2 linked regions of the Lytechinus pictus genome follow. The protein of the gene in region 1 interacts with the protein of each later gene in a pairwise test. Links are inferred from orthologs where the notes say so. Each region holds a gene or a part of one and is shown in the gene's direction. Other genes may lie near its edges.

The links.
Region 2: the proteins of cyclic AMP-responsive element-binding protein 3-like protein 2 (region 1) and transmembrane protein 218-like interact in binary tests that used the Homo sapiens proteins (3 or more experiments, as listed by UniProt). The link is inferred for Lytechinus pictus from reciprocal best matches to the Homo sapiens genes CREB3L1 and TMEM218.

What each region holds. Positions count from the first base shown.
Region 1 is NC_087263.1:5,804,495-5,811,881, reverse strand, and holds the start of cyclic AMP-responsive element-binding protein 3-like protein 2, read left to right. Parts: upstream 1-4,371; 5' UTR 4,372-6,583; coding exon 6,584-6,785; intron 6,786-7,201; coding exon 7,202-7,387.
Region 2 is NC_087252.1:19,357,444-19,364,949, reverse strand, and holds the start of transmembrane protein 218-like, read left to right. Parts: upstream 1-4,497; 5' UTR 4,498-4,616; intron 4,617-7,506. UniProt on the Homo sapiens protein: May be involved in ciliary biogenesis or function.

The sequences.
Region 1 (7,387 bases):
TGTCGGCCTGCCTTTGCTGAACTGTTATTAGTATTACATCATCTTCAGTGGTCAATTGACACATGTATTTTGAAATGCCTCCTCGCACCTTGGTTTCTAAAGCTTACATCCATATTTGGAAGATCGAGATTGATACGAAATTGTAAAATGAATAATTAGTGTCAATTTCTTGTCTTGCCCATTGAGATTTCTTATGTACTATGTGAAGGCCCACATGTACATGTATATGATTTGCTATGAAGATATGTGTATTTTTTAGAAATAGGTGTAATTTATATATTTGCGAAAGTTTCTTTTGACATGAGCAACATTTGTCGGGTTTTTGACAAGCGAGCCTTCCCTGCAAACACCAGAAATTGTTGAACCAAGACTAGAATTGAGATTTATTCATTTGTTGTTGAACTTCTGCTGGGAATATGACCATATGGTTCTGTCACCTGAGTACTGCATAATTGTATCAACAGATTTCCCGAACGAGGAGTATGAATGAATATAAAACATGTATCTGATTAGGAAATTGATAAACAAGGAGATAATTATTCATGAAATCATGAAATATTCCTGGATCTCTACCCCGGGATCCATGACCCTATGACTGCAATATCTGAAACGAGCATTTGCATTACCTGGTGGGTGTTTCATAAAGCTGTTCGGAAGTTAAGAGTGACTTTAACGATGACTGGTGAACCTTTCTTACGCGCTAAGCCATCGCCAATTAACATTTTGGTGTACACCATAATTACCACAAGAAAGGATCACCAGTCGTTCTTAAAGTCGCTCTAAACTTACGAACAGCTTTATGAAACACCCACTAGTATTAAAACTACATACTACTACATGTACATGTACCAACTACGATAAGTTAGTAGAAATAGACAGTTTTCACAAATTTTTTTTCTTTGTGAAGTGTCTTTCAAAATTATGGATTGACAACAACTTTAACAGTTAGTGTGCAACTTGTTCATCTATGAAAGTGTTTTTCAAGTTGATTGATTATTTGACAAGTATAATTGCAATCATGAATGCCGACAGAAATGTCAATATATCATTCGCTTGCACCTGGCATCGTATGGTTCTGAAGTGCTTGCCATTTTTTTTTACACATTCCGGTAGATTTCGATGACAAAAAATATTGGCAGAACTATATTATTTTCAGTTTGATGCGATTATGTTGTCAGTGGATGAATGAAAAATTGAATATATGAGAAAGTAGCTCCATTTGATTTTAATAAGATATAGAGTTATTCTCGTGGCAGTGATGAAGTTAGCCTGGCGTTGATTTCTTGACCACACTGTGAAGTGTCTATTCCAACTCACTACATGTATAAAAGTACAGAGTATGGACTGCCAAAAGAAAAAAAGGATGTTTGAAAATTTTGTAACTTTTCAGCAAAAAGAAAGAATAAAACATGCACTTTATACTGTAATATTGAAATGATTTTCAGTGAATATGGTACAACATTTATAACGAAGATGAAATTAGAGCATTCCAAAAGCAGTGATCAAAATTGTTGTTTATTCTAGAAAAAACAGAGTTTGATTGTTGACCAACCTCCAGAAGGAGAGAAACATAAAATCCATTTTTTAAATCAAATCTTAGCACTTATACACAATCATGTAAATATAGATTCATACATTTAATAACCCCTTATCAAAATAATACCTAAAACTATTTGATCAAATCATTTACAATGGTTTCCTTCCTTGTTGTTCTTGAGATCTAAGTGGCTTCAGTTCAAGAGCTCCGTCAAAAAACAATTATATCTTGTTCATCAAATTGAAAGGTTATCCTTTATTATCTTCAAAGGTTGACTTTGAAAAAAAAAATGATAGTAACAAAGTCCACCATCAAAGCCTTACGGTATATATATATTTACTTTATGGACGTGATTCCTCTTCTACATGTATTTTTTTTTTGGGGGGGGGGTGGGTTGTTGACCTATACAGGTAATACATGTTCAAGCAGGAATTGACTTGAACCTTGAATAAACCAGTTCCTTATTTTTGTCCAGGATAGCATCAGCAATTCAGCCTTTTATTCTTTAATTGGGTCCTTTAGTACACATTAACTCTGTTTCATCCATAATAATTAATGATAAATTTGCCCTTGATATGAAAAAAGTTTTCAATAAAAAGCTCAACATTTTCCTGCATTTTTAAGCGGTGATTTTTTTTTCACTACATGTGTTTCTCATGAAGAAAAATGATTCCAAGTACTGCTAAACATAAACATTTACCTAAAGTGAAATATTGTTCTGTAATGAATACACAGGATATGTTATGAATCTAACTTTGGACATTGCATCCTGTTTTCAATGAAAGAATTGCAATTTGAATACACTTCATTTCATGTTTTATTTATTTGATATCAGTTTGTTTTGGTATTTGTAAATGGATAACACTGAGTATTGATTTACGTACAAGTGGGCAATGCATATAATTGCATCTTTATTCATGAATAACAAACAAGTAAATGGTTTATTCAACAAATAAACATTGAAATTAATTGTACAGTATACAGTACATTGTATTCAACTTAAAGGGACAGATACTAAAAGGGCCAATTTTCGCATACTTGGTGATTAGCACTAAAGTGTACAGCAACATACACAGACTAGATACAGCTCATTCGAATCGAGTTGACTTTGGGAGTGGGCTATACCGAGCGAGGGCAAGCGAGGGAGCACCGTCAATAATTTCCTGTGATGTCACAAAGGGATTGGTTAGACGATGTCTACGGGACAGAATTAGACGCTTCCTGTGCCATTGGGGTGCATGGATGCATCTTTATCATGGGAGCAAGAGTTGCATGGGCAAAGATCAACGTGTCTCCTTGTTTTGCTTGATGTGTCAATGTGGATTAGCCTTTAAAATCCTTTTTCAATGTAAAAGGTTTTGATGATCTGCCGTACTTAGTGGGTGGAATTCACTGCCCTTTAAATGATATTTTGAAGTATATTTCTCCCACAAAGAACTAATGAACAACCCAAATTCATTGTGGGCCTACATGTAGTTAGCATGGTAGCCTACCTAAAAAGTGAGTTGGAATATTTTCCCATTGCCTTTTACAGGACTTTCGGATTACAGTTAAACATACATGTTTGATGACAAAATGTTTTTCAGAGAAATTCTCTACAAAACATGCTGTTGTACAATCAGATTACACTGCACCTACAATATGTATTATTGGCCTGCCTATTTGTAGACAATTGAGTTATTTTTATAAATACAGACCTTATCAGTTATCATGTGTTGATTTTCTCATTACAATACAATGATGGCCCCAATGTTTGAGGGGCATTCTATGTCTATTGATTGTATTCACATATGTTCTTTTTATAAACAATATGTTTGGAATGATTGAATTACTTTCCCAAATATATCGGCTATTCCATGTTTTCCCCATTTAATTCACTTTTGTAGGCTACAGTACTTCAGTCTGCGATTCATACATCATGGATAAAAATAAAACAGTTATTTTATTATTTTCAAGTTGGTAGAATCTGCTGCATTTCATAGTTTTGCTTCCTGAAAGTCATCAGTGTTATTTCCTCATACTAATTTTTAGAGTGTGATAATTAGTAGGTAGTATTTAAATATAGTTTTATGTTACCTGCAAATACCTCCCATTTCCCCCCTGACAGTACATTAACTTCTTACCTCTATTTTTATCTTATTTCCCTTTCTCTTATGAGAGAACCCAGTTGTTTTATAAATAAACAACAGCCGCAAAGCTTGGTTACTCCAGTAAGTCGCCACAGTGGTGATCACCTTTCGTCCCCATGTCTCCCCTTCCTACCTTTCCCCCCTCGCTCCCCTTCCCTCACCTCCATTTTCTCTCCTTACCCAGTTTTCCCTCCTCCCCCCTCTTTTCCCTCCCCCCCCCCCCCTCTTCCCTCCCCTCTTCCCCCCCTCTTCCCTCCCCTCTTCCCTCCCCTCCCCCTCTTTTCCCTCCCTAGTCTGCTGTGCAAACCTTTCACTCAAGTCAAGTGGTCTGAATATGCAGCCTATAATGACTTCATGTATGTACAGAAGGCCCTCTTGCTCAGGAATTGAAACAGCAAGTTCTATATATGCTAGTCTTGTGTGAAGACCCACTTGATCAAATTTTCGATCAGGGTCTTTGCCTGCAGCCTACTTTCTTCAATCGCTATCCCCCCTTTCTCCCTCCCCCCCCCATTTATTCTCATTCCTGCCACTCCTCAAACCCTTTTCTAGCATGATCCTCACTTGCTCCCCCCTCAGACCTGCCAACCAGTACGTTTTTGGCCGTATTTAGTACGATTTTTCAACCAAATTTTTTTTTTTTTTTTTACAAAAATTGTCATTTATTGAGAAAAATCATCTCTATATGTCTCTATTTCATAAAACGTACACAAATATGGTTATTAGATCAATGTAATTTCAGGTAACTTGTTTTTTTTTTTCAATCATTTTGTAAAAACCAGGGTGAGTTATACACAAGTTTCAATGTTTTTTTTTTTCATCTGCAAGAGCAGTGCGCATTTAAGCTTGCATGCAGCTTGAGCGCCGTGATGGGCGAGTGTGCCAAGCATTTTATTATGAAATACACTTTTTTGGGGAAAATATTTATCTCACACGGTAAAAATACTGATTTTTTTTGTCAAAATACTGATTTTGGGGGATAAGAATACTGAAAATGCAAAATACAACTTGGCAGCTCTGCCCCCTTCTCTTGCCCATGCAATGAATGATACTATAATGAAAATATTACTATGCCCTTCAAAGAGGTTTATATTGTACTATGTACCATGATCAATACATCGTGATCACCTTTCCCTTCCATCTGGTTTGCTATATTGAATGATCCTTGAATTTATAACAGGTGATTGGATTTGGACTTTTACCGTAGTCATTTATTATTTAGTTTCAGACAGGATGTAGATTCTGAACCACTGCAAACATGGTGAAAATATTAGCATTTACATTTATGAAGCTGTCACATTCCCTGCATTTTATGAATCAATTTAATCCTAGTTCAAAATATATTTTTGACTTGAAATTTGAAGGAAAAAAAACATGTATGATATAAATATATGATATCCAAGTCCTCTGTACGTGTAAATTCATAGGGACGTTATATCATAATGTGGTATATGCGTTGTGCACTATACAAGAACTGTGTTTATTTGATAATGAATGTCCTTGAATTTTGGTTGTCCTGAAAATTGAAAAAGTAAAATTGACATGAGCATTCTCTACAAGTTACATGTAGGTCTATATTGTTGGGGTGCAACCTAGATTTATCAGGGAATAGTTAGACTAATACCTTGGTCTGATTATCAGCAAACCACCCATTCTCTCTGGTTTGAAACTTGATCGTAATTCTTTGAATTATTTTGAATGATCAAGGATCTGACCTTTGGACATGACAATGTACTCCGTTCCATTGCCTTTCTCTTATCACACAAAACAGCATTCCATTCCCAGTGTATAATTTGTAACATCGCATTGTGAGATTAATTTGATAGAACTACGCTGTATCAGTTACTATTGGTTTTTAAAGACCATGTTCTTGTTGACAGTATCTGATAAGATCATTGATAATTTTCTTTTGTCATTGTTTTGGATTTGAACTTGGGATCTGACTTTGTACTTTTGACTATTTTAGGTGGGGGGGGGGCATACTAGTAGTTTAACAACACGGTCACAACCTTTCTAAAGTGATAAATGCTATTGGCATGTTTTGATGGGTTGTAACTTGTATTTGAACTTGTACTTATTATCACATAGTAAAACCCTCCCCCTTTTCATTTCAACCTGATGGTCATAAATGAATGAAAATTCCATAACCAGATAAATATTGTAAAAATATTGGCATGATAACAATGTACATTGAAAATTGAAGGAAAACAAAAACACTTCCACCACCATCATTGAACATTGCTCGTAAAGTACCATGCATTAATGTATAGTCTGAATAATATGAAATTGGGACTGTGTTTTCTATTTGTCATCACTGACGTATCACAATTCTTTTATATACACATGCGAGTGTGCTTAGTATCACTGAGCTCTGAAAGTCACACAGCTCATTGAAGGTCATGTCTTCATGAATGATAACGGAAGGACATTTCTTGTGATCATATGATCGCAAATTGACCTCATTTGTTTAATAGATCACATGTTGCAGTGTTTATATGAATGAAGGTGAACGAAAAGACATGGTTTAGATTGTGAGGATGATTTGGAAAGACTAAGTATTTGCTTTGATGAAAGTGTTTGAGTGGGGTTTTTGTCGGATGGATCAAGACAAAAGGATCGAGAGATACTGTCTGTGCTAATAGGCATTGTAGGAATTAAAGCAATTTGTTGTATTCTATTTAATGAGTTTTATTTAAGTAATGCATGTCAATATACATAATTCTAAAAGTATTTATTTGTGTTTAATGTTTGCAATTATTCTTCTATCCAAATACTAGTAATAAGTATTGCTACTCAACATTATGATTTGACAACATCATAACATTATGACAAGATCCAAGATTTTTTTTAAACATCGTATTCCTTGCTGTTGAAAATCTAACCGTAAAATCTCTTCTTGACCTTTGACCTACAGCCGATGACCGACCACCTTGATGGCTTATCTTCCTCCAGCTACTACGAGTATGATTACCTGTTTGACGATGACCCGCTGCTCTCCTCCGACAAGATGGTGTCGGGAGAATCCATTGATCCGTCGCCGCCCCACATCACCGACGAGCATAGCTACTCTATGATGAGTGAACCCAATTCGCCCATGATGAAGGAGATTAAGCAAGAAGGTGGGAAGAAATTTGATTTATTCTATGGCCCGTATTCTGATGTCCGGTTTAATTTAAACTCTGGTTTCAAGTTGCGCTTTAACTATGGATAGCCAATGGGGGCATGAATCTGTAACAGTAGAATTTCAATGCATTAGCTAATTTTTGTCTCACCTGCAAAGCAGAGTGAGACTATAGGCGCCGCTTTTCCGACGGCGGCGGCGGCGTCAACACCAAATCTTAACCGAAGGCTAAGTTTTTGAAATGACATCATAACTTAGAAAGTATATGGACCTAGTTCATGAAACTTGGCCATAAGGTTAATCAAGTATTACTGAACATCCTGCCTGAGTTTCATGTCACATGACCAAGGTCAAAGGTCATTTAGGGTCAATACTTCAGTGTATATTTATTGTCTTCCTCTATGAATCTTTCAGATGATTTGGACAGCAACTACGATCCCGAAGGCCTCGATGACATGCTTCCCGTTTCTCCGGAGACCGAGGACCACCAACATATCTCCTTACTCTCGTCAAACCAGCACACCACCGCCACCACGCCCGCCGGCTTGACCACCGGCTATCTACTCATGGACAAGCTGACCGGCGTCAAATCCATCTTGA
Region 2 (7,506 bases), on another chromosome or scaffold:
CATTTTGTTTTCGGACTAATGTACCTTCGGAATTACGAACCTTCGGAATAAGGAACCTTCGGAATATCCGAACCTTCGGAATAACGAAGCTTCGGAATTACGAATGTATGCGTAATTTTTGAGGGGCGGTAACGGCACGCAAAGCGTGCCAACAATTAGACAGCACGCTCCCTAGGGGGAAGGGATGACTTTTTGATATCTCATCACATTTAAATCAAAAGACAGATATTTCTTGCGTCTATACCCTTATCAACTCGAACTCAATTGACTTGCTGTGATTATAAAAACTTGTTTTCGAAAGAAATATGAGCTCCCCAAAATGGGAAAAGATTGAGGAATTTGAAATAATTCCTCTTACCGCGCGAAACGCGGAAGATAAAACCTTTTATAAAAATTGAGAACAGAAGTGGTATGAAATTCCCAGCTTGGTCACATCAGATCTGATTGCAAAAACTTTAGCCAAATTAAATTTCTTTAACTCGCAAAACAGAGTAGAAGACAGGAATATATGCAGGGATGAAATATTCCTTCCCGCGAATATGGCGTTCAAGCTCAAGTAGTAGTAGGTCCATGATGATATTAATCTAGAAGCAGCCACCCTTATTAAACAAAATCTTACTTCCCATATAACTCTGGTGGATGAGACAGCCATTAATGAAGCAATGATTTCTATTAATAATTAGATTCAGCCAAAATTACGAAATGCTATACCCATCTACTAATAATAAGCCCAGAAAAACAAAGCAGTTTTTATGAAACCATGGTACAACCACAGCTGCTATAGATTGAGAAACAGGTATCGAAATGTAAACAAAAATCCTTTAAAAAAAACAGACTGACTACAATAGGCAAAACATGATTCAATGTGGGAAAAGGTATAAAATTATAAGTATCTCAATAACAAACTATACGAACTTTGAGACCTACTAAACCGAGGGATTTTTGGAAAATTCTCCAAAGCAATAGTGTAAATAAAAATATAAAGATAGAGGCTAATTTTGCTGATCTATAGTTGACCACTTTGAGGATTTAAATCAATCTTACGATAACTTCCCCTCTCCTACAATCCAACATTTTGATAATCCGGCCATCAATGATGAATTTACTCTAAAAAATGAAAAGGATCAAAGATTATAATAGATGGAACTATAAATGAGTTCTTAACAGATACTTCGGCGGTTATTATTCCAATCCTTACTAGGTTATTCAACATTGTAATCAATAGTGGTAAAGTTCCTGATGTTTGGGGTATTGGTGTTATAACTCCTATCTTTAAAAAATAATGGTCCTGTTAAAAATACTGGAAAATTATCGAGGGGTCTCGATCCTTAGCTGCATTGGCAAACTGTTTACTTTACTTCTAAATGAGAGATTAACAAAATATATTGACGTTGGTATCTTAGGGGAGAATCAAGCAGGATTCATGCACAAATACTCAACCATTGACCATATATTCTGTTTAAAATGCATTGTTGATATTTATACAAGATTCCTAAATAAGAAACTTTTTGGTGTTTTTATTGACTAGTAATGACATTAATGGTAAAATTCTTTCTGATGTTTCGAAAGTATCCAAGTGGTTTATATCTGAAATATTCCCCATACAGGTGATAATTTGTCGTCTCTCCTCTTCTTTCTTTATCTAAAGGATCTTGAAACTGAGCTTAGTAGAAAATATAAAGGCACCTCGAACCTCTCGGACCTGATTGAGAATAAAATAGTTCATACTGTTATTCAAGGAGACTGTATAAGTTCTTCAAAAATTAATGTCAAAATTGTAAATCCGAGTATAGGCGGATTGGAAATAAAAAACACAGCACAGAGTACAGCTTTGTCGCAAAGCTGAAACAGGAGAAATACTAATTTTGAACATTAAAATCTATCCAATATTTTTATTCACGAAATGAATTCACAGCGAAAGGCTGAACTACATGAATGTGTACAGAGTAAAAAATCAGTAGGCCTAGGCCTAAACAAACAAGTAATACAAATGCCTAATATCCATTAAGTTAGGCATGGATATACAGAGAAGGTAAATTAAAGGGAATAAATTGAAAGAGGGAACATGTCTTTCGTCCAAAGGATATCTTAATAAAACATTAATTCGGGATTTGATAAGTTTGTTAACAAAGTAAGGAAATGTTGAATTTGTCCGAAAAGTGGCATTTTTTTTATTAGACAAAGCTTTCATTTCCCAATCTTTAAAAAGTAATATCACTGTATTCGGAGGAGAATTCATGAGTTAAAAGCACACTGTTAAGTGTTTTACTGCAGTCGTCAATTTAAAGAGAGTAGGTACATATCAATTATTTAACATGTTTAAAGTATAGATACAGAACCCAAATAGAAATTGGTGTATAGTTCTACAGTTAGGGTGAAGCCACAACAACCTTAAAAACAGTCAAAACGTTCCTCATAAATAATAGCAAGTGGAAAATGTAATGCAAATGAGTCAAGCATTGTCATGTGGGGCTAGTCTTGTTAAATGTTAAATGAAGTATTAAAATCCTTGCACCAGTCAAGTGCATAAGCTTTGATGAAGAAAAAACAATGCTGCAATTGTATGTGTTACAATTGTCCCACAGGCATGTTACAATAACCCCATGTTGTGGGGCAATTGTAACACTTGACCTCTTATTTTCAAATGATAGTAGCTTCTAAATTAAAGGGGAATCCAACCCAAATAAAAACTTGTTTTTATGAGAAAAAGAAAAATCAGACAAGTTGATAAGTGAAAGTTTGAACGGTATTGGACAAACAACAAGAAAGTTATGAATTTTTAAAAGTTGTAGATATTGGTAATCACTATACTCATGGCGACTTCAAATTGGCCGCATATGGGATGTCATAGTGATGTAAGGCAAGGACTACTCTTCCATGTGCTCCAATACATATTATGGCTAAAATGTCATTTTTCCCCAAAGTTTTATTTCAAATTATATTTTTCTTTCATGAGGACATTAAACAAAATACTACCTGGGTTATATTTAGATTACTGCCCCAGGGGAATGGGTACTTAGGAGAAAACCACAAATCCCTGATAATAAAGTACATGGCCTATGGAAAAGTTGTCCTTGCCCCTTGTCATAATTTACTTACCCAGTTGCCAATTTGAAATCTACATACTATTAGTGATCTCAATTTTAAAGCAGCTATAACTTTCTTATTGCTTGTCCGATTTCTTTCAAACTTTCACCATCCTGTTTAATTTATTTTTCTCCTTCCCAACACAATATTTTATGGCAAAGGTTGGATTCCCCTTTAATTGTTTAACTTAATCCAAACCTATTCGTGGTGTCAAGCCAAGATATGCATCTTCGTTTTATTTAGGTTTTTTAGCAGGCATTTAGCTTTAATAAGGTGTATGTGTGGGAGTATATATATATATATATATATAATATATATATATATATATATATATATATATATATATATATATATATATATAACGCGCTTTTGGGTAAAAGATCATTAATGACGTAAGTTACGTAATAATAAAAGAGTATGATTTAAGTTTCGTAACTCTTATTATTACGAAATCTTTTTATTGTTACGAAACTGAAATCTCACTATATATATATATATATATATATAAATACATATGTTTTGTTTATTTCTTTATTTTATCTTATCTTTTATTCATAAAATGTAAAGGAGGCCTTCACCCTACAAGCTCTGCTTTTTAATTGGTCTCCTTCCCTTTCGATTTCATGGTATTATTGTATTATAAAAAATGATTTAGATGTTATATTTTGTAAATATGTATATTGAACTATCAGTGTAAATGTAAAAAGACTGAAAGAGAAAATAAATGAATTGAATTGAATTTAGTAAATTTTGTTACAATTGTCCCCGCGGTCCCTTTACAAAATGAAGGTCATTTTGGTACCGATATTTGTTTTATAAGCCAAAAGGGGGGGGGGGTCACGGTAAATTGAAGGTAATCCTGGGTTGGCTCCAAAATGTAGGTCGTTATTTTTTTTTTACTTGGCAGCCCCAGGGGGGGGGGGTTAAACCGTTGATCCGCCTCTGCCAGCTAGAGTTTTTCTTCTTCTTTGGGTGTACTGCCCAACGCCCCGGGAGCCACTTCAACCGCGCGGGAGTTGTGAGAAGTTTCATGGTTTCCTCAGGAAACGAGATATTTCAAGTTTGCTCAAAATTTCTTTATAAAGTTAGATCATTTTTGTTGTGACATATACATGTAAATACAAAAACTTGGAAAATTTACCGCTTCCAATAGGGGCCGGGTGCTGATGGGTTATCTTGAAAAAATATATGTTTTTTTCTTTATTCATTTTCAATCCAGATACACTTACAAATAAGCTTTCGTAAAATATTATTTACAAACGGTTCATTGAACTTTAACATGATCAGTGTAAAAATGAATGATAACATTGACGACGTTAGGCAGGCCTGAATCTCGTACCCATATACCCCCATCCACTCACTTTCCCCTTCTGCTCGACGTCATAATCTCGCTTGGAAATATACGAGATCGATATCCGGATCCGAACTCTCATCTCCAGATCGGATACCGGTTTCCGTAAACAGTATAAATTTTCTGAAATTACGATTTTCTCCTGTAATTTTGCTGTTCAAATCATAATTGTAATATGGTGAGTTGGTAAATGTTTGTCGCTATTGAATAGATGATTTGAATACGAATTTTCATTCAAATGATAGTATAATACCTATTTTTCAAGATGATTGCGTTGCTGCATTTATATACAAAAATGTGTGTTTAGTCCCATTGTATGTTATGCGTGTTTGTTGTGATAGATCTAACATAACAAGTTGATTGTATTAAGTTCGAATTCGATGTTAGTCTACTCTTGCTATCCGCTTCCTTCATAGGTTCTACGATAGGGCATAGGCCTACAAATAGATCTATACTCTATACAAGTTGTATGTTACTAAATAAAGTTAAAAGAGATCAACTAAGTGTAAAATTGCAACTGAATATCCAGAGGCAGAGCTACGTCTAATTTTAAATTTGTACAAAAAATTGTAGATTTATATTTATATGAAGTTTTTTAATTTATTTTTCATAATAAATACATCTGACGCCTTGTGCGCAAACTAACACTGGCTACGAGGTGGGCGTGGCCCACTCACACTAGTACGAGGTTAGTATATATAGCCTATATACTAACCTCGTACACCGAACCGTGTTTGACCCTTGATTTCGAAGTAGTCGGCAAACATCGCTTCATTGCTGAAGTAATATTTGCCGAAACTCCTTCTCGCTACTCACCGGGGCTCTTTCCGGTAAGTAGCAATACATTAAAAAATAAAAAATGTAATTTGAATATAATAATCGGTCAAAAAGAGCAAATTTCGCTTACCTCGGCCTGGAAAGTAACTTCGCTTGTCTCTTCTACGGAAATACAAGGAGGCCCGTTGGTGGCGCTAATAAATTTCACAACCTTGATTCAGCTCCTCTGTAATTTTATAACTGTGTCTAAATCCTTTGAATGCGCAATTCTTATGATTAATTTACTAATTATGGGCACCAATAAATGAAATACCTTCAAACATGTCAAAAACATAATTCAAGATTATTATTGGCGATGATAACACTTTTCTGCAATTAATTTAAAACGATGACTAATAAAGAAAGATTGAAAAAAATATACGTGCCTGGAACAAAACCAGCAGTACAGGCTTTAACGAACATCAATAATACGGTATACCAAAGTCTTTACAATGAAAAGATTGGACACTTCACGGACTTTGCGTAATGACCTGCGTCAATTTGCGTGTAAAATAGTGTAGGTGCCTAGTCTTTCCCTTGTCGTGTCTTTGATATGAATATAAATCGCGCGCCCTCTTTAGACGAAAATTGATATCGGCGCTGACCAAATTTTATCTCCGTGAAATCTTCACTAAAGATCAAGAAAATATACATATTTTTTAGAAGAAACTTCAAGGAGAAGTCACGGAAAGATCTAAATGATTGGGTAAGTGTCATAGCAGAATGTGAAATCCCTAATTATGTGTGATGTTTTATGTGAGCGAAAGCCCAGTAGTATATTGATGTGTCGTGTGTGTCGCGTTATTATGAATGATATTCCTTCGCACGCGAGATGATATGAGCCCATGGGTGGGCGTGGCCTAGCATTTGACTGGGCTCGAGCGGCAAATTTGAATTCGAATAATAATGAGCAAAAGGTCACGCACGATCCTTGAACTTTCGACGTTTAAAAATGATCAACGACCACAATCAGCGACAATTAGCTACGGGAGAGTTACAGGGATTAAGCGGCTTATCGTTTCCTGACAAAGGCCATAGTTTGACACTTAATAATAATATCTTCACTTTTAGGAAACCTTTGGAACTGGGAGTTGGTATGTTTGTTTTGGTTTGGTTTTCTCTTTCTATTCATTGTTTATTTAAATGTAAAGACGTTCAAATAAAAATTCTAGGATTTTATTTTGTCCACCCTACTACCAAGTCTCACGCATTGTGCGTGAGACTCACGCATCCAGGGTCCGTCTCACGATCTCACGCATGGCGCCCATTTTTCTCACGCATCGGGACCCGACAGAAAAAAAAGAGAAAAAGTAGCATTATTCGTTAGATTATGCGCACTGGCCGACCGCCTTCGCACGCCGTCGCGTCTACCCCGACACGCGAGACGAATCGAGAGTGCAGTCAGCGCACAGCTAGTACGTGATACGAGGAATCGTGTGCGTGCATCGCGTGGTTTTGTAGTATGGATCAATATCATGATGAAGCCCATATCTCGCGCGCGCCTTTTCGAAACGTACAAGTGTAAGTACTGGCCGCGCGCGTGCAGAGACGCCGAGTCATGAAAATCTCACGCATAACATTTTTTTGAACTTGGCATCTCTGAATATCTGTGATTGATTGCAAATATTTTCTTGCAACGCCACCTAAGTCATTAAGTGACCTAATTCCTGACCTAAGTTCAAGTTCAATCTTCTCTCTCTCTCTCTGAGTCTCTCTCTCCTGTTTAATTGTATAATTAAACGCATTAATATAATTTATAACTTGTTAGGTCCATGTAGGTCAGGTCAGGACTTGTTAATATCAGCTGAATTGCCGGCCTTCATGATATTCTTTCATTTCAATAATAAGACATGTGATTGTGAAGAATCATTGTTTCAGCGATTTTCAAAAAAATTGATGCAAAAAATGTATTGGGTGAAAGTGTGAGACTTTTAATGCAACTCGCTGGTTTCGTCTTCTTTTTAGTGCAATATTTCCTCTGACAAAAATTTCCAGTGGTGGACTGTCGTGTACACTTTTTTAGATAACATTGGTCAAACTAAGATGATGAATCACCACCCCTCATACTTGTATGGCTTCATTTCAAATATGAAATTATTTTATTGATTAGAGGGTCGTGGGTTCGAATCCCAGCTATGGCGTAATTTCCTTCGGCAAGAAACTGATCCATAATGTGCTGCACTCAATCCAGGTGAGGTAAATGGGTACCGGTAGGAAGTAATTCCTTAAAAAGCTGTGTGCGCTATGAACGC